2 linked regions of the Ovis aries genome follow. The protein of the gene in region 2 interacts with the protein of the main gene of each other region in a pairwise test. Links are inferred from orthologs where the notes say so. Each region holds a gene or a part of one and is shown on either strand. Other genes may lie near its edges.

What was found.
Region 1: the proteins of KASH5 (region 2) and G patch domain-containing protein 4 interact in binary tests that used the Homo sapiens proteins (3 or more experiments, as listed by UniProt). The two-hybrid records come from large-scale screens. The link is inferred for Ovis aries from reciprocal best matches to the Homo sapiens genes KASH5 and GPATCH4.

Annotation. Positions count from the first base shown.
Region 1 is NC_056054.1:106,562,476-106,572,754, reverse strand, and holds the start of G patch domain-containing protein 4, read left to right. Parts: upstream 1-4,483; 5' UTR 4,484-4,557; intron 4,558-6,464; 5' UTR 6,465-6,522; coding exon 6,523-6,601; intron 6,602-7,059; coding exon 7,060-7,133; intron 7,134-7,240; coding exon 7,241-7,333; intron 7,334-7,426; coding exon 7,427-7,513; intron 7,514-7,829; exon of another isoform or gene 7,830-9,191; coding exon 9,192-9,280; exon of another isoform or gene 9,281-9,515; coding exon 9,516-9,566; intron 9,567-9,796; coding exon 9,797-10,279.
Region 2 is NC_056067.1:55,604,767-55,614,392, forward strand, and holds part of KASH5 (protein KASH5), read left to right. Parts: intron 1-1,614; coding exon 1,615-1,692; intron 1,693-1,958; coding exon 1,959-2,015; intron 2,016-2,485; coding exon 2,486-2,545; intron 2,546-3,287; coding exon 3,288-3,352; intron 3,353-3,518; coding exon 3,519-3,606; intron 3,607-3,879; coding exon 3,880-4,002; intron 4,003-6,256; coding exon 6,257-6,315; intron 6,316-8,068; coding exon 8,069-8,114; intron 8,115-9,573; coding exon 9,574-9,626. UniProt on the Homo sapiens protein: As a component of the LINC (LInker of Nucleoskeleton and Cytoskeleton) complex, involved in the connection between the nuclear lamina and the cytoskeleton.

The sequences.
Region 1 (10,279 bases), on a different chromosome or scaffold from region 2:
AGGATCCCTGGCATTTCCACTTGAATTTTCAAACCAACTTGTCGATTGATGCAAAAAGCCAACTCGGATTTTGATAGAGATTGTGCTGAATCTGTAGACCAATTTGGAGAGTAAGTTCAGTTCAGTCACTCAGTCGTGTCTGACTCTTTGTGACCGCATGGACTGCAGCACGCCAGGCCTCCCTGTCCATCACCAACTCCTGGAATTTACCCAAACTCATGTCCATCGGGTTGGTGATGCCATCCAACCATCTCATCCTCTGTCTTCTCCTCCTCCTCCTGCCCTCAATCTCTCCCAGCATCAGGGTCTTTTCAAATGAGTCAGCTCTTCACATGAGGTGGCCAAAGTATTGGAGTTTCAGCCTCAGCATCAGTCCTTCCAGTGAACACCCAGGACTGGTCTCCTTTAGGATGGACTGGTTGGATCTCCTTGCAGTCCAAGGGACTTGCAAGAGTCTTCTCCAACACCACAGTTCAAAAGCATCAATTCTTCGGTGCTCAGCTTTCTTTACAGTCCAACTCTCACATCCATACATGACTACTGGAAAACCATAGCCTTGACCAGATGGACCTTTGTTGGCAAAGTAATTTGGAGAGTGATCTTATTAAGTCTGCCAATCCATAAACACAGGTATTTTTCCATTTATGTAGGTCTTCTTTTGCTTCTTTCAATGACATTTTTGAATTTTCAGGGTATAATTATTACACTTTTTTTGCTATATTTTATTAAATTACTAAGTGTTTTATTTATTTTGATGCCATAGTCAATGAATTTTTAATATCGATGGCTCTTACTATTTAGGGACCAGTTTGTATCTTCTACTTTGTCAACAAAGGTCCATCTAGTCAAGGCTATGGTTTTTCCTGTGGTCATGTATGGATGTGAGAGTTGGACTGTGAAGAAAGCTGAGCGCCAAAGAATTGATGCTTTTGAACTGTGGTGTCGGAGAAGACTCTTGAGAGTCCCTTGGACTGCAAGGAGATCCAACCAGTCCATTCTAAAGGAGACCAGTCCTGGGTGTTCACTGGAAGGACTGATGCTGAAGCTGAAACTCCCAATACTTTGGCCACCTCATGTGAAGAGTTGACTCATTAGAAAAGACCCTGATGCTGGGAGGGACTGGGGGCAGGAGGAGAAGGGGACGACAGAGGATGAGATGGCTGGATGGCATCACTGACTCGATGGACATGAGTTTGAGTGAACTCTGGGAGTTGGTGATGGACAGGGAAGCCTGGTGTGCTGCGATTCATGGGGTCGCAAAGAGTCGGACATGACTGAGCGACTGAACTGAACTTGTACCTGTTTTTTTCACTTCAATCATATCATAGACATTTCCCCAAAATTATTAGAAATCCTTCTTCAAATTCATTTTTTAAGACTATGTATTAGTGCACTGTATATTTCCACTCTTTGAGCAAACTCTGGGAGATAGTGAAGGATGGGGAACCTGGTGTGCTGCAGTTCAAAGGGTCACAAGGAGTAAGACATGACTTAGTGACTGGGCAATAAAGCAACAATGATTCCACTGTAAGTTATTTAGCCATTATCCTGTTGTGGAATATTTAGGTTCTTTGCTTTTTTTTCCCCCATTTTATAAATATTCCTGTAATAAATATTTCTGCTGATCTTTCTATGTCTGCATTTCAGATTATTTTCTTATAAGTAGTCATGGCCCCTTCCAGCACAAAAGAACACAGCAAGAAGTTGCCAGATATGAATCAGGAAAAGGGCCCTCACCAGAAGGTCATCAACCTGGTGCCTTGATCTTGGACTTCCCAGCATTCAGAACTGAGAGGGGCCAAGACGGAGGAGTAGAAAGACCCCGAGCTTACCTTATAAATAGTCATGTATTCTTGCTCTCTCATAATGGCTTTTATTTTGCACAACTCTTGTGAAGAGTTTGAAGCCCCTGAAATTTTGAACTCCTGGAGGCCCATTTCTTCTTTTGCAACCCCACATAGCCTCCAGGGACAGGCCTGCAGGGGCCCTGACTTCTTTTACCCCCACAGCACTGTGTTCTGACCTTGCCACAGCTCTCATCACTCACTGATATAAGTTCATGGTAACTTGTTACACCCCCACATGATCGAGAAGCCCAACAGAACATGGGCTGGACCTTTAGTCCTTGGTCTATAGAAGACCCTTAATAAATATTTATCAAATGAGTGAGCCAGGCAGAGTTCAAGTTCCTAGGCCAGACTCAGAATCTTGAGTCAACAAGTTATGTTGTTCAGTTGCTCCGACTGAACAAGTTGTATCCAACTCTTTGCAACCCCACGGACTGCAGCAGGCCACGCTTCCCTATCTTTCACTATCTCCCAGAGTTTGTTCAAACTCATGTCTGTCAAGTAGATGATACCATCCAACCATTTCATTCTCTGTCGCCCCCTTCTCCTCCTGCCCTCAATCTTTCCCAGCATCAGGGTCTTTTCCAAGAGTCGGTTCTTCTCATCAGGTGGCCAAAGTACTGGAGCTTCAGTTTCAGCATTAGTCCTTCTAACGAATATTCAGGGTTGATTTCCTTTAGGATTGACTGGGGACTCTCAAGAGTCTTCTCCAACACCACAGTTTGAAAGCATCAATTCTTTGGTACGCAGCTTTTGTTATAGTCCAGCTCTCTCATCCATACATGACTACTGGAAAAGCCAAAGCTTTGAGTATATATGTCTCTGCTTTTTAATATGCAGTCTAGTTTTGCCATAGCTTTTCTTACAAGTAGCAAGCGTCTTTTAATTTCATGGCTGTAGTCACTGTCTGCAGAGATTTTGGAGTCCAAGAAAATAAAGTCTGTCACTGTTTCCATTTTCCCCCCATCTATTTGCCATTAACTGATGGGACTGGATGCCATGATCTTAGTTTTCTGAATGTTCAGTTCAACAAATTATGGCCATTAGATTTTCAGAATGGCCGACAAAGAGTATGCTGAACAGAAATTGTGGGCTGAAAAGGGCCCTTGACCTATTCATGAGTTTTCAAACTTCTTTTATGACCACAGTATAATATGTAATATTAGATAGACAGGGGAGATAGAAAGGGTGGAATATTGAAACGGTGGAAATAAAATCAAGTTTGTAAAGATGATTGTACTAGTCCAACATTCTAATTTTATAGACCAGTGAAAGGTTGCTCTCGAGCAGGAAAAGGACTCAGATCTGACTGCCATTCACGAAACGCTCCTCTATTGAATCCAACCTCTGAACAGTATATTTGAAGCATTCCACATCACTTATGAAAGCATCTACAAGCCCACTAATCAAGATCCATTGTTTAACGTATTGTTCCCATGTAGCATATTTTAAAAGTAAAACTAATTTCATGTTTAAAAAAACATACTGGAATGAGGTAGTATGACATACTGAACAATTGTGACAAAGCTTGAGTGAAATGGCAGCTTTTCTCTTTGAAGATCCTAGGGGGCGCTAAGTTACCGTAAATATTAATGTGAAAGTGAAAGTGAAGTCGCTCAGTCGTGTCCGACTCTTTGAGACCCCAAGGACTGTAGCCTACCAGGCTCCTCTGTACATGGGATTTTCCAGGCAATAGTCCTGGAGTGGATTGCCATTTCCTTCTCCAGGGGATCTTCCCAACCCAGGGATAGAACCCGGGTCTCCCGCATTGTAGACAGACGCTTTCCCGTCTGAGCCAGGGAAGTCCAAATATTGACACAGGGATGCAAATAAGGGAAAACTTTTTTCTTTTTCCCTTCCGATTTTAGTTCCTGGGTGGCTCAGTGGACCCTAAGAACACTGTGGGGATGAGAGGATGTGCAACCTCTCTTGCTGACTTCTTTGCAATATGTTCTTTCCCTCTCCTGCTCAATGGATTCTCATACTTATAAGGCAAGTCTGAACTCCTCAACCTATTATGCATTCCGGGATTTTGCCTCTCCAGTCCCACTCGAGCTTCCAGCTTTGCTTGGGCTAGACAAAGTGCTTCTCGAAGTCAGGGCTCGTGTCTTACGCATCTTTGTATCACCAGTACCAAAGAAGAACAGGTCCTGGCACACAGTGGTGAATCAAAATGTGTTTGATGAACGTATTGAAACCTCTTACCTCTAGGATTTTATTTAAAAAAAAAAAAAAAACAAACTGTCCCTGCAAGCTGAGTATTCATCCCTTGAATTATTAATCACCTCAGAGGTACTACCTCCTTCTCTGCCTCCACGAATCTCTCAGGCCACTCTCGATGCTTTCACCTAAAATTTTCCTTTCTCGTATTTGTGCCTAGGACTAGTCAATGTTGGACCCAAAGCTATTCTCCGAACCCCGATAGAGTCAGGTAGGACTGAAGTCACTTAGCTGCTCAGGGCCTGCTGGGAGGCAATAAGTAGAATACCTCTCGAATCTCCAGAAATGGGCTAGCTCTGGGGCGGAGTTTCTATGGCAACCATACCGCAAGCCGGCCTCTCAGTTTCTCCGGGGACCACAGAGACTCAGTTCCAGCGTACATCTCTATGGTTTCCACAGCCTAGAAGGGTCGAAACAGCACTTCCGGGAAGATGGCTGCGCACAAGTCACGTTTGTCACATGTTTCTGCGGAGAGGATCTCGCAATGACGGTAAGGGGCTACAGTCCCCCGAATGGTGACTGTCATAGCCCGGGCTCAGGGGCAAATGTGACAGAAAGAGAATAGTTTTACTCAAGTGAAGCTGCGGTCGGAGGGCTGGAGTTTTAACCTCCACAGGAAGGAACCCTAGGGAAAGGAGCCAGCTCTTCAGAACCTCTGTAAGAATGGTAGCCCAGGGTCCCTTCTCCAGAAAACTCACGTTGACTGGAAAGAAGACAGTTCCTGAAAGTGTGCTCACAGCCTTCGCAAAGACTGCGAGCACAGCCTGGTATCTAGCTTCTGTCCACAGTTAGCTGTTCTAGGTCGGTTAAGGAAATTCCCACCTGTGTCATTCAGTTCAACAATTAAGGACTGAACGCATTCAGGAGCTGCATTAAGTGCATCAGGGGTTTGGGAATAAGACTAAGCATAGGCTGTGGTATATAATATAATTTCAAATTAATGCGACAAGGCATAGGCTGTGTAAGTCTTAGAGTGTAAAGCGTAAATGGCTATGAGCCTGTGAGTAGTGATTGAGAACACCAGTTCTGGAGTGCCTGAGATCCTAGATCCGCTACTTAACCAGCTATTTGATTTGTGCAAGTAGCTAAACTTTTCAGTGCCATTTCTTCAGTTGTAAGTTACAGTAAAAACACCTCCAGGGAATTCCCTGGTGGTCCAGTGGTTGGGACTCTGTACCTTCACTGCGGAGGGCTGGAGTTCAGTCCGTGGTTGGGGAACTAAGATCCTGCAAGGAACCCGGGGCAGCCAAAACAAAAACCCAAAACACCTCCCTGTGGGGTTGTTGGAAGGATTAAATGAGATAATATGTGTGAAACAATTAGCAACATGCTGGCATGTGGAAGGCTGAGTATAGAATTTGGGTTTTGGTATCAATGGCAGGTCCTAAAACAAGTCCCCCGCTGATAACTGAGGGATGACCGTAGTTGGGAATATAATAGAAGCCGGGCTACTATACAGTCATGCATCCTGGGCTCATATTTCCAGCTACATCCCTTACCAGCTATATAAGAAACCAGGCAAGAAACCGAGACTTTATTTTTCTCCTCTATAAAATAATATCTGTCTTACAGAACTGTTAGGGTTAAATGAGACAGTATAATAGTATGTGTAATCCTCCTGTTAAATATAAGAGCGCCTTTCCAAGCTGGACAGTTTCAAAAAGGGTGCTCCAACAAGACTGAAAGACAGTGGTGGTGAAGCCCCCACAGTGTAAATGCTGGGGCACAGGTATAGGATACAGGCTTTATTAAGCACTGCTGTCTTATAACTGGAGGAGGAGATGGCAGCCTACTCCAGTATTCTTGCTGGGAGAACCCCATGGGCAGAGGAACCTGGCGGGCTACAGACCAAAGGGTCACAAAGAATCACACAACTGAGCACAGACAGATATCACTCAGGTTAACAAACATCTCATTGCTTTGCTTTGTTTTTAACATGGTAATAAATCATGGGAGATATTGTCAGGTAGCGGTAAAGAGTGGGAATTCTGCAGACCAGCTGCCTGAGTGTGAATTCTACATGCATCAGCTGTGTGACCTTGAGCAAGTCACCTAACCTCTTTAGGCTTTAGTTTCCTCATTTGAACAAAAGGATAGTAATACCTTCCTGAATGCAAAGTTTAGGAAATCTTCCTGGACTGGGACGGTTACATGAAATGATCCATGCAAAGTCTTAGCAAAGCCCAGCGTGTGGTGAGCTCTCCATAAATTTAGGTATTATTGTTAATACTGGTCCTCCTTGACTTTCAGCATGTTGACCTCTCAGTGGTCAGGGAGCTCCCTAAGGACCAGGCCTCCCAGCTTGATCTCTGTTCCAGCTCCAGGAAAGAATTCTTATAAGAGCGGTTAGGATGGATTTGGTACATGATCTGAGCACTTTCTCCCTTCCTCTTAAAGGGATGACAGTGACTGCTGCTTCTCCAGTGAGAGCCTGAAGACAGTGACTTTTCTCACCATGAGTATCACCCCCGAGGTCAAGAGTCGGGGGATGAAATTTGCTGAGGAGCAGTTGCTAAAGCATGGATGGACTCAAGGTGATTCCCAGGGGGCCCCTTCCACATCCCCCAACTCCCTCACTACCCTCTGCCCAGGGGAGAGGCATTATCCTGGATTAACCTCTCTGTAGTCTGTTCAACGGAAGAGGAAAAGTTAAAGAGAAAATTTGCAGAAGAAAATTCAGCAATTTCCAGACATTTCCAGAAAAGGGAAGAAATATGACTGTGGATAGTGAGAAGGAAGTGGCTGAGAGAACTGGGAGTGGGAAAGAGATGACCTCTGTCCTGAGAGAATTATGGGAAAAGAGAGTTTGGGCTCAAAGACATGAAGACCGTATGGAGAGGGAGTAGGAAGAGTGGAACTGGGAGGGTTTCTGAGAGGGACAGGGCACGCTCAGTGCTAGGTGTGTGGAATGACAAGGGCATGTGCCAGGGTTGCTTTGTGAGGGCTTAGGGCAGGCAGTGGAATAAGCCAGGTCATTCGCTGTCTTCTGCAGGCAAAGGCCTGGGCCGGAAGGAGAATGGTATCACCCAGGCCCTCAGGGTGACGCTGAAGCAGGACACTTATGGGGTAAGACTGGACAGACTGCGGGAGGTCAGTGGGGATGGGAGATGGGGGCCTTGAAGATAGGGTGAGGGAGGGGATTGACAAGCCCTGAGTTCACACTTCTCTGGCAGGTGGGACACGACCCTGCCAAGGAGTTCACAAATCACTGGTGGAATGATCTGTTCAACAAGACTGCAGCCAACTTGGTGGTGGAAACTAGGCAGGTATAAGCTCTAATAGCAGGCATGTAACACACGAGGGCCTGGACACATGGGGGTGAGGGAGACGTGGCACCCACTCACACATACTTCCCCCAGGATGGAGTACAGATAAGACGCCTGTCTGAGGAGACCACCCGTCAGGATCACGCCAAGCCCAACTTGCTGTATCAGAAATTTGTGAAGGTATTAGAGGCTGGGGGTGAGAGGGCCCACCCTTTCCCCTTCCCTGGTCTCTTGGGGTCTGAACAATTGCCTTGCATGCCCTACCTGTTCTCAGGACTGTCCTAAGTGGGGTCCTGGGACTAACCTCGCTGTTGCTGACCCAGACTGCCCAGATCCTCAGCAAGAATTGAAATCTTCAGGCTGCATGGATCCCTGCCCTCTGCTGAGGGGGCTGCAACAGGGAGTGGGAGGCGGAGGACAGTCAGGAGCTGCCAGAGGAGAGCAGGGAGGGGACATCTATTTCAAAGGACTTAGAAGCCTGAGGAGACCTGAGAGATTATCGGACCCATTGTCTTTTATTTTGCAGATATGGCCAGAAGGGGGGAGGTGGCTCACTGAAGAGCCCACAGGTGGCTAGTAACTATAAAAACCTGTTCTAGCCAAGGACTAGAACCCAGGTGTTCAGACTTCCCTTTTCTAGCGTGCCAAAGGAAGGGAGCTGACATTTAATGATCTTCCATTACCTGCTTAAAGGCTCTACATGTTATCCAGCAGATCTTCCCCATTCATCTCTGTGGCCATCTTCGGCCCCAGTTCAGACCATCATCTCCTGCATGGTTTCTTCCACAGCCTCATAACTAGCTAGGCTCCTCACTCTAGTCTCAATCCTCGTGCCAATCAGTTCATCCTCCACAAAGCGTCCAGAGTGTTCTCTGTAAAACACAAGTTTCACTGAGTCACTGGCTCCTCCTTGACCTGGGATGACACAGTCTACAGGTGTCAGACTGACGCGGATGGCCCTTCAGGCCGTGTCCTCGCCTTCTTCCCTAGCCTGTTTCTCGCCACTTCTCAGGACCTCTGTCTACTCTTTAGCCAGATTGATTCTGAATCTTTTTCAGGTACCATGTTTTATCACCTTCAAATTTTTGCATATGCTCCCTCTGTCTGGGACATTCTGCTTCCTTTACCTGCTGACCTTTTCGTTGTCTTTCAAAGCCGAGTTACTTGTAGGAACTATTCCCCAAACCCTGAAGCCTGAGTCAGGTATCCCTCCTCTAGCAGAGATAATTGTTGTTTAAGTCATGTCTGACTCTTTGGGGACACTATGGACTGTAGTCTGCCAGTATTTTCTTCATAATTGCCTACATTCTGCCATATCTCCTTCCCTGTTAACCACGTAGGATCTATGTTGGCTGCACCCATCTCATTCTTACTCCACTCTGTATCCCCAGCCTTTTAATCCATAGTAGGTTCTTAACCTGGTTAAAGAACTGTGCATAGGTATTGGCCCAGGGGCGGGGGCGGGGCGGGGCGTGCACAGGTTGTGAAAAGAACCATCTTTGTTGTCTGTTGCTAGAACCGTGAGATGACCACCGGGGGCACTTGTCCCACTGTGAAGACCTAATGACCCGAGCACTTGTCCCTCCCTTCTTCTTTTGCCCACTAGCTAGCTGGCTGTGGGCCAGGGAGCCAGGACTGCCCCTGCCCCACCCATTCCCAACTGCAGCCCACTTCCTGCCCAGGCTGACATATGCAGGTTGGCACACCTCTGTGGAGGTCTGTAAGAAGTGATGTCAGGGGCTGACAGATCTGTGCCTCTGGCTACTTGAGATGGTGGTTGGGAGTGGTTTCCAGAAGGGAAGTGGGATGACGGTGGTGTTGAGTGGGCCTTGTCCATCCCCACGATTCCTCCTTCTAGACGGCCACACTGACTTCAAGTGGGGAGAAGCCAGACAAGGACGGGGAAAGCTGCAGTGATGACAGCCAGGAGCCCAAGCCTCCGAATGTGTGAGACGTCTTTCTAGTGCTGGGGCATATGGGAGGAGATGCCTTCAAATCTCAGAAGGACGGACCAGTGTAATGCTTGGCTGTGGTCTTCTTGGGGGGTGGAACTCTTGTACTAATCTTTGGCACTTCCAGGTCCTGAATAGGAACTCATTGGTGAATGTTTTGGAGGGGAGGAGAGGTCAAGCCTTTCCATCAGATCCATTTGTAATTCCTGATTCCCACCCCTCTCCAACAGGCTGACCGATGAGATGCTGCTCCAGGCCTGCGAGGGACGAACAGCACACAAGTAAGTAGTGGTTGGCTTCTTGGGCTCCCTTCTCTCCCCATCACAAGCCCACCATTGAGGGTGGCCTGTGCCACTCTTTTCACCCCAGAGGAAATGATTCCTACTCTTTGCCCATTTCTGAAGCTGCCTCAAGACAGGTAGCTCCTCCTTACCAACTTTCCCTGCAGTCGCAAAGATGAGGCTTCTTTTCCCTGATGGCCTCCCTCTGACTTGGGCCCCATCTATTTCAGGGCTGCCCGTCTTGGGATCACAATGAAAGCTAAGCTTGCTCGCTTAGAGGCCCAGGAGCAGGCCTTCCTGGCTCGGCTCAAAGGCCAGGACCCTGGGGTCCCTCAACTGCAGTCTGAGAGCAAGCCCCCCAAGAAAAAGAAAAAGAAAAGGAAGCAGAAAGAGGAGGAAGAGGCTACAGCAACTGAAAGGAGTGCAGAAGAGTACTCAGAACACACTGACGAGAGCATCAGAAAAAGCAAGAAGAAGAAAAGACGGCATCAAGAAGAAAGAGTCACAGATGAGAGAGAGGGCACAGCTACAGAAAATGAAGAGACCACAAGAACAGGTGGGCTTGGGGAATTGAAAAACAGAGAGCACATCGACCGGTCCCTCAGGAAAAAGAAGAGGCAGCACCGTGAAGAGGAGAAGGTGGAGCTGGCGGTCTTAGATAATGAGGGAGGCAAGGTGGCTGTCAGTGGAGTCGGGACAGAGGAAGTGGAGAG
Region 2 (9,626 bases):
AAGGTCCTGCACAGGAAACAAGAACACGCTAAAGCAATTCTACAGGAAGAATAACCTGGTTTCTTCCGCAAATGAAGGGCCTGGAAAAGTGCCCGGATTGGGAAGGTGGGGGATATCACTGCTGGGTGAAATGACACATTTCAACCAAAAGCCATGGTGGACCTTGTTTGGATCCTCACTCAAACAAACTAAGTGTGAAGAAAACATTTGTGAGATAACCAAACCCAAAAAAGAGCACTGGGTGTGCGATGATACGAAGGAGTTATTCTTAACTTTGTTGAGAGTGATCCTTGCATTGTGGTCCTTTCTAAAGGAAAAGTCTTCAGGTAGCAAATACAAATGCTGGAGCAGTTACAGGTGAAATAATAAGCCTGGGGTTTGCTTTAAAATAATCTGGTTAAGCAAAGCAAACTCTGTGCATAGAGAAGAAACAAACAGGAAGAATGTATGTAATTACTGAAACTGGGTGACAAATAATGGGGGTTCATGATTTTTTTTGGCTGAGTCGAGCAGCTTGTGGGATCTTAGTTCCCTAACCAGGGGCTGAACCCCAGGCCTTTGCAGTGAAAGTGCAGTCTTAACCACTGGACCACTGGGGAATTTCTGGGTTCACCACACCATTAGCTTTACTTTTGTGGGTTAAAAATTCGTAATACAAAGTGTTAGAAATATCTTTTTGATATAACACCAAATTTTGGTATATGCCAGGCATTGTTCTAAATGTGTTTGTATTCATTAACATATTAAACATGTATTTGCATGAATTCCCATCTATATACCCTGGGCAAAGTTGCTCAGTCTTTCTGTGAGTCAGTTATTTTTATCTTATTTTATCTATTTTGGCCACACCTCGCAGCTTGCAGGATCTCAGTTCCTGTACCAGGAACCCAAGCCACTGTAGTGGAAGCACCAAATCCTAACCACTAGACCACCAGGGAACTCCCATCTTTATCTTTAAAAGAGGGCACAGAAGTAAGTTAACACTGGCAAGGTGCCCCGTAAATGTTAGCAGTAATTATTAGTTCATTTAATCCTCACATGCATCCCATCATAGCTCCATTTTTGCAGCCGTTTTTATTTTTTCATCTGCAAATCAGAGCTGAGATCCTATAGGATTGTTGGAGGGATTAAGTGGGCTGAAACATCAGGAAGTGCTGAGCACGGGGAATAGGGGGACGGATAGAGGAAGAGATAGTTAGGGAGTTTGGGATGGATATGTACACACTGCTATATTTAAAATGGATAACCAACAAGGATCTACTGTATAGCACATGGGACCCTGCTCAATGTTATGTGGCAGCCTGGATGGGAGTGGAGTTTGGGAGAGAATGGATGCATGTATATGGCTGTTCACCTTCACTGTTCACCTGAAACTGTCCCAGTGTTGTTAATTGGCTATACAATTAAATACAAAACAAAATAAAAAGTGAAAAAAAAAAGTCTTAGAAAGGCTGCCATTGAAGGATAATTAAAGCCGCATCTGAAAGGCTCAGGAAAAAGAGAAAGGGTGCCCAGCATGAGGCCTGATGCACATCAGGTGCTCAGCACATGTCTTCTCTGAGTATTAACATGGCCATTTGCTGACGTGATCGTGACCAGGGTCCCTTCTTCCAGAATGGGAAGCTCCTGGCCGAGCGGGATGGAGTGAAGAGGAGGAGTGAGGAGCTGGCCTCGGAGAAGGACATCTTGAAGGTGGCACCCCTCCCTAGTGCCTTGACGATTTCCTACCTCCCTGAGGCCCGTTTTTAGCCTCATCAGTTTCAGCCCCTTTGGTCTGGTGAGATCAGGGGTTTGACTCAAGCTCTGAGGTCCCCAGGGCCAGTGGGCAACTCACTGAAGTCCCCCTCGGGGTAGCTGACGTCCAGAGATGTGAAGGGAGGTTGAGGAGAGGAGCTATAGAGAGCGGGATAGGCCGGGGAGGGCAGGCCAGACAGATGGACGGGCTCCTTCTTTGGCAGCGGCAGCTCTACGAGTGTGAACACCTCATTTGCCAGCGAGACGCCATCCTCTCCGAGGTGAGTGGGCTGGAGGGAAATGTGCCTTCGATGTGTCTCCTGCCCCAAGTCTACAAAGGAAAATCCTCCTTGGCTCTAGGGCCTCCCAGGTGGCACTAGTGGTAAAGATCCCGCCTGCCGATACAGGAGACGTAAGAGACGCGGGTTCAGTCCCTGGGTTGGGAAGATCCTGTAGAGGAGCACATGGTAGCCCACTCCAGTATTCTTGCCTGGAGAATCCCATGGACAGAGGAGCCTGGCGGGCTACGGTCCACATGACTGAAGTGACTTAGCCATGCACGCATACTAGACTCTAATCCTTGGAGACTCAGCCCAGAGAGGTCAGAGGGTTTCCAGGGAAGCTGATGCTCTCTTCAGGTCTTGCTCTGCCCCCAGCCCATCACACCCATCCGACCCCCCTTCCCCTGCGACCAGACCTCAGAGTTTTTGGTGGGTTGAGCCCGGCCTCAATCAGCTTTGGGCTTTCCCAGCGCACTCGCCACGCGGAGAGCCTGACCAAGACCTTGGAGGAGTACAGAGCCACAACCCAGGTAACCCCCTGGCCCGGCCACAGGCCCTGCTTCTGTTTTGCCATCTCTGGGGTGTGTCCTGCCTCCTCCTATGTCTGATGATCTTTTTCCGAGTCTCCACCTCTTGTTTCTACCATCACTGCTGCTTGACTGTGTGCGTCTCTCCCCCTCCCTCTCTCTCTGCGTTTTCACTTTTCCTCTGTCCTTCCTCTCTCTGTATCTCCATCTCCCACCCACTTTGATTCTCTGTGGGTGATTTCTCACAGTGTCTGCCCTGCCCCTGTTTCTGTGTCCCTGCCTGGCTGGTTTCAGTCTCTGCCGCTCTCTGGGTCAGTTCTCTGTCTCCTGGGGTTACTCCTCTCTCTGTCCCTTGTCTTCACAGTCTCTTGCTCCCCATCTGTGTGTGATAGGGCTGTTCAGTTCAGTCGCTCAGTCACGTCTGACTCTTTGCGACCCCACGAATCGCAGCACGCCAGGCCTCCCTGTCCCCTATGTGTGTCTCTCATTTTCCCATATGTTTCCATCTCTGCTTTCCTTTTCTTAGTTTTCCTGACCGATAGGTTACATTCTGGGTTCCTGTTGCTCTTTACCTCTCGTTGGCTTCTTAAGTTTCTGCTACTGTTTCTTCCCCTTCTCTCCTTGTCTGTATGTGTATGGAGGATCCCAAAGAAGTCAAAGGAGTGGACCTGGCCTTGGAAGAGGAGCCCAGACATGGGGCTGGGGAAAAGGCAGAGCCAGGGGTCCCTCAATCCTTCCTTTGCAGGAACTGAGGCTGGAAATCTCCCACCTGGAGGAGCAGCTGAGTCAGACCCAGGAGGGGCTGGATGAGTGAGTAGAACGACGGGGGAGGAGGAAGCAGGAGGGGAGCCCAAGGACAGGGAGCCCCCACCGTGGCGTCCAGCCCCAAGGTGGGCAGGGCAGTAGCCTCAGCATAGGCTGGCTGACAGGTGGTTGGGCATGGAGGCAGCCTTCCCCCTCCTGACTGTGTGGCCAGGTTATCCGAAGGGGCCCAGGTGAGGAGAGCGGACTGCACCAACCTGCTGCCGCCGTCGCTGGGTGTGGAGATCCAGGCCATTCAGCAGGTGGGCCTGACACCCCCAGAACACCCTAAGCCACCGCCAGCGGCAACTCTGACCCCGCCCTGACTCTCACCCCACTCCAGTCCTCCCAGGACCACCTCGGTTCTTAACCTCATCCCTGTCCCAGTCCTTGGTCCAGGCACCAAACCCTTCCCGGTGCTGCCCCACGGACCCCCAGGCACCCTCATATCACTCTCCCCGCCCCCAACCTCATGCCTCAGCCCATCTCCATGCCACCCCTGACCTCTGCCTTCACTGGCCTCTCCCTGGCCTCAGAAGCAAGAGGAGACACCCATCGATTTCTCCAGCCCACTGTGTGGAGTGTGGCCATGGGAGGAGGTGGTCAGTGAGGCGGATGGGGAGGATGAGCTTCCTCCTGAAACCCCGTCGGGGGGGCAGGTGAGCACAGGAGAGCCCTGAGACTGCTGGGTCCAGGGGCTGGGAGCGGGGCCCGGGACGCGTTCACTGTTCCCCACCCCATAGGCAGGTGTGGACTGAGGGCCTGCTGGGTGCTGGCCTCAGAGCCCCTGGCCAGACAGGACACCACCCCTGCCCTCCAGGGACTGGCCTGCTGGTGTGGAAGTGAGCCAACCAAACATGCAGATTTCATGGGGTGGGGGTGGTTTCAAAAGCACTGTCCAGAATCACCTTATTTAAAATGTTACAAGGTGGGAAGGGAGGAAGTGAATTGTTCTTCCTGATACCATGTAGGTACTTTAAGCATTTACCTTTTAAAAAAACCTTTAAGAAAAAACAAGCCCACTATGTAATCCTGAATCCAACAATAGCCATCATCTGTAGTTACCTGAACAATATTTCAAACCTCATTTGAAACAATGAAGACAGCTCATATTCAGTGTTCACAGTTGAAAAGTGAGATTTGTAATCTGTTAGTGACTGGAGGATTTTTTTTTAAGAAAATATTGCTAAAAGTTCTGTAAACAATGCTTTATTGTCTTGAAAATCATACTGCTTCCTCGCTGCTCACCACCCTTGAAAGAGACAGTTTCTCTGTTCGCTTTTTCTCTGAATTGAGAGAATCTTCTGTTGGATTCCTCTCTGCCCTCTCCCACTGTCTCTGCGGGCTGTAGGCGCCCTCATCCCTCACCCTGTTATTCTTGGGAAACTGAGGCTCAGAGAGAGATCACACAGCTTGTGGGGAGCACAGCTGCATTCCTCAGGGGAAGCATGCATTTTAAAAATTATATTTAATTTTGGCTGTGCTGGGCTTCACTGCCACGAGGGCTTTTCTCTAGCTGAGGCAAGTGGGGGCCTACTCCCTAGTTGCTGTGCACGGGCTTCCATTGCAGTGGTCTCTCTTGTTGTGGAGCATGGGTTCTAGGGCAAGAAGGCTCTGGAGCACAGGCTCAGTAGTTGCAGCACACGGGTTTAGTTGCTCCTCCGTATGTGGGGTCTTCCCGGATCTGGGATCAAACCCGTGTTTCCTGCAATGACAGGCAGTCTTTCCTGCTGAGCCACCAAGGAAGCCCCACAAGTGTACATCAGAACTTCCGCTGAGAGTGCTCAGACGCCTCCTGGAGGGGAAGACTGAGCCAGGCCTCTGCGTGCTGCCTGCACTGGGTCCTGGGGACCCTGTGGGGCTCAGGACCTGATAGATCATGAAAATGGGCCATCCCAATGCAGGATGATCTGTGTGCTAGGGGATTGGGGGATGGGCCCTGGGGAAGCCCAGAGAAAGGGAATACCTGTGTGGAATAGGAGATATCACAGGGAAACTGACGCTTGAGTTTATATTGAAGAAATAAGAGAAGTTAAGTGGTGTGAGAAAGGAGAGGCCTTCCAGGCAGTGGGAACAGTATGCGGAGAGGACATGGGAGCATGAAACCACATAACACGTTTGGAAGGTAGAGGGCAGTTGGGAGTGACTAGCCAGAGATGAGGTGAAGCCGGATCATGAAAGGAATTCCCTGCCAGTGAGGGTGAGAGGCAGTGCGTGGGGAGGGGCAGGTCAGTTCTGGATGTGCTGCACAGAAAGATCCCTCTGGGGCCACATGGGAGACTGGGAGGCCAGGGAGGAGGCTGGGGCAGTGGTCCAGAGTTAGAGGATGAAGCTGGAGCCAGGCCAGGGCCTTGGGATAGAGAAAAAGGGACAGGCAGTGAGAATTAGGCAGGGGAGACAGAGCTGCCAACTCACCAACAGGGGGCTAAGAGCTCTGGGTTCTGGAAAAGGGGGTAGACAGACAGACGCTGAACCTACCTTGTGACCCCCTAAGGTGAGCACCCTGAGGGATGGGGGGTGCTGCCCCGGAGGTAGTGGGTGCACGAGGGTAGAGCGCAGTGATGCATTTAGAAAGGCGTCTCGGTGGTGGCTGAGGCCACAGGCAAGGCTGGATGTCTTCAGAGAAAACGGAGGGGGACCTGGGTGCCCACAACTGGGAACCTGGGAGGAGAAGGGGGTTGGAAGGGAAATGCTGAGCCTCTTTGGGGCCCAGATGAGTGTGAGAGGCTTGTGGGAGTGTCAGAAGTTCAGGGGGACCTGAATTCCTGGTCCCAAAGGAAAACTACTGGTCCACTTTCGGGCTTCTGCCCCTGGAGGGAAGGTAGAGCCACCCTTGAGGGGGAGCCCAGGAGAAGGGCCGGTTTTAGAAGTGGGTGGGGAAGCCCAGGATACCTAGGCTTTTCTTTCCCACAGAGAAACTCGCAGGAAGAGTCAGCGCAGCCTCAGGAAGGAAGGGAGGAGCCATCCACGAGGTAAGGAGATTGGTCCTCCCTGAGCCATCCCTCTGGCCCCCTGGGTGACTCTGAGATGGCTGGAGTACAGGCCTGGAAGAGCCCCAGGGGAGGCTTATGCAAAGCCGTGACCTCTGGGCCCCTCGCTCGCGCAGAGGCGATCCTGGGCCTGCGGACCAGAATGAATCAGACCAGCCTTACCCCCAGACCCTGGTAGTTCAGGAGGACATCTAGCCCCTGACCCCTCCTGGGGGAAAGACTTGAAAGAGGCCCTGCTTAGGGTCCTCTGGGAGTAGTATTCGTATAGGAGACCCCTAGGCAAGAAGACAGCCGTCAGGCAGATGGGATAGCTCACTCAGTCACTGTCACTGAACACACTTCTCTAAGGCTCCCAAGGAGCCCTGGTGCAAATGAGACCTAGATTGTGCCCCAGCAGAGCACTCAGACAGCTGGGATACCCTGGGGTCTCTGTGATCACACAGCCTGGGTTCAGATCCCCGCTTAGTTACTCTGTGATGGGATGGGGCAATCCCGCGCCCTGTGACTGTTAATCAACTATTACAAGGCTTGTGTGCAGCTTCCAAAGATAGGGAAAGCACCGGATGTCTGGGCCCACCCTCCTCCACGGGGCCTCCGCCTCCCTGCAGGGCCTCTCTCTCCCTCCTCCCCTCTTTCAGGCTCCTGGCTGTGACAACTAATGAGGCTGCCTGCTACGGCCTCTAATTGGAGTTGTCTGAGAAAGCTGAGATTGGGCGGGATGGGGGGCCCCCCGGCGCTGTAACCTCCCCGTGCGTCACCAGGGAATGGAAAGAAGACAGCGCTGAGCAGCAGCGGGCACCAGAGCTGGTGTAGAGGCTGGGCATCCCAGTCTCCCTGGGGCAGGGGAGAGCAGTATGGTCCACAAAGTGGGAAGCCGGGAGTGAGGGAAGTGGTGAGTCCTGTGGGGCCCAGATACTGAGAGGGGCTGGGCCCCACACTCCCACCCCACCATAGAAATCCCAGGGGATAAGACAGCTGGTTATCTGACTGAACCAGAGGCTGGGGGCCTATGAGCCTGGGTGCCTTACTGAATCGGAATTGAGGAAACAGCTGTATCCTGAGGGTGTTGGGTCTGAAACTGGTGGCTAAGGCTAGATCACTGGGTCCCTGGTCCCCAGTGAAGGTGGTGATGGGTGGTGCAGACATCTCAGGCTCCAAGGAACGTTGGGGCTGGGCAGCTTGTGTCTTGAGTCCCCAGAGAGGCGCCTGTTTCAGGGGCTCAGGCAGCTGTGACCACGGGGGCACAGAGGCTGGGGCTTGCACACCTAAGAGAAATGACTTAGGATGGGGGCAGGGTCCACAGAGTTGAGTTCTGGAGTCAGGGAAGCCTGAGCTGGAGTCCCAGTTCTCCAAGAAGACCCAATGAGACCCAGACTCCCTGAGCATGGCCCAGCCCACCAGGCAGGAAGCTGGGGCAGGGGGCAGGGTCTCAGAGATGTCTGAGACCCAGAAGCCTCTGATCACCTGGGGGACCTGCTGGGAAAGGAGCAGCTAAGAAAGCCAATAAGGTGGAGGGGCCCCTGACCCTTTAGGGGTCACACACAGACTCTCTGGGGAATTTGGTGAAAAAATACAGATGCTAACCTACACGCAACAGTCTGCTCGCGGGGCTCCAGGGCACCCTCCAGGTCCATGTACGTGAAGACCTCCTGCTTTAAAGGTTCTGCCACACAGCTGGTGAATGGGAGCCAGGCAGGGGAGACAGATGCTTGCAGTGACTTTCTTGTCGCCCCAGGTTGCCCAGAAGAGAGGAAGAGGACGAAGCGGAGATCCAGGTCGTGGTAGGCAGTCCCCGGCACCATTCACTTCAGGCCCTCAGATGAGGCTTCTGTAGTCAAAGCTCCTCCCCAGCCCCTGCCCACACCCCCAAACAGACAGAAAAATCGTTTGGCCGAGAGTTAACAATGCCCTCGCTGTAGCTAATGAGAGCAGACAGTGCTGTAGAGGGAGGCTTCAGGCAAGTGGGCAGCTAGAATGTTCCCAGGGGACCCCCCCTACACACTGCACATGGGGCCGCAGCCTCTGCCACAGACGTGGCTACACCCCAAGACTGCGCAAATGCGCACATATGTATGCCCACACTCCAGAAGAGCCAGACCTTCCCCAGCCAGCCCAGAACTCCTGGGGCACCGCATCTGTCATAGCTGCCCTGCCGGCACCACACACGGCAGCTCCTTTGCTCCTCAAAGCGGCAGGTGGCAATCCTGGTTCTCAGGCAGAGGAAGCAGAGGAAGGAAACGTGGTGAGGTCAGAAGCCAGAAGGTGTGCCGGCTTCCGTTCTGGGCACCTGGGGTTCTTCAGGGTCCACGCTGACCAAGATGCTCTCCCTGGCCCACCTCTTTCCCACCACACCACACTCCCATCCGTGGAGACTGGGGCCCACCTCAGCTTCCTCACGGCTAGTGTGACGACGATCTTACCCAGCTCCCAGGGTGGGGATGAAGGTTAAGCATCGCATCATAAAGTGCCTGGCACAGAGCCGACGCACTGTAGGTGACCGTGGTGAAGACGGTGGCTGAGACCAGGGTGTTGCTAGAACTCCTTGTTTATTATTGTATTGTTATTGCCATAGTCGTCATCCACAGACCAGAGGCAGGCCTGAGAAAGCCTGAGATCTGCAGAGGGGATACCCTTTCAGAAAGACACAGGGAAAAAGAAACACATGGGGGGTGACGTGGTAAAGTAAGGAGTACTGGGGGCTTTAATCTTAAAATACCTGCTGGGCCTGGTGCAGGGCAGGAAGATGGACCCGAGGAGTGTCCATGCTGTACTAGGCCCAGGCCAGGGCTGGGTTCCTGGAGGAGACAGAGTCTTTGACCTCAGGGGGCTTGGGTGCTTCCAGAATCAGACAGAAAGTGGAAATAATAATACTGAATAGCTCACATAGTCACTGGGTGCTGTCCGCCAGGCGCTGTTCTAAGCCCACCTCCTGACAGTGTAGGTTTTGCCCACATTCTCCCATTCATTCTCCACTTCAGCCCTTTGAGGTGGGCGTTGTCATCACCGCTGTCTGGCAGATGGAGAAAGTGGGGCCTGACAGGTGGGGTGACGTGCAAGTGCCACACGGCAGGAAACTGGCAGAGCTGGGAGCCCAGCGCAGCAGCGTGTGTTGGGGAGGCTCTCACACAGAACCACTGTGTCCTGCCCCCTTCCGTGTGCGCACTTCTGTCCAGTGGGCTGACTAGAGCACCTCTCCTGGTCCAGCAAACCTGAGACCGTTTGTCCCCTTTGTCCTTCCAGGTGGACCTCCCCATCCATCCAGAAGACTCACACCCTGGAGACATCCTTGGAAA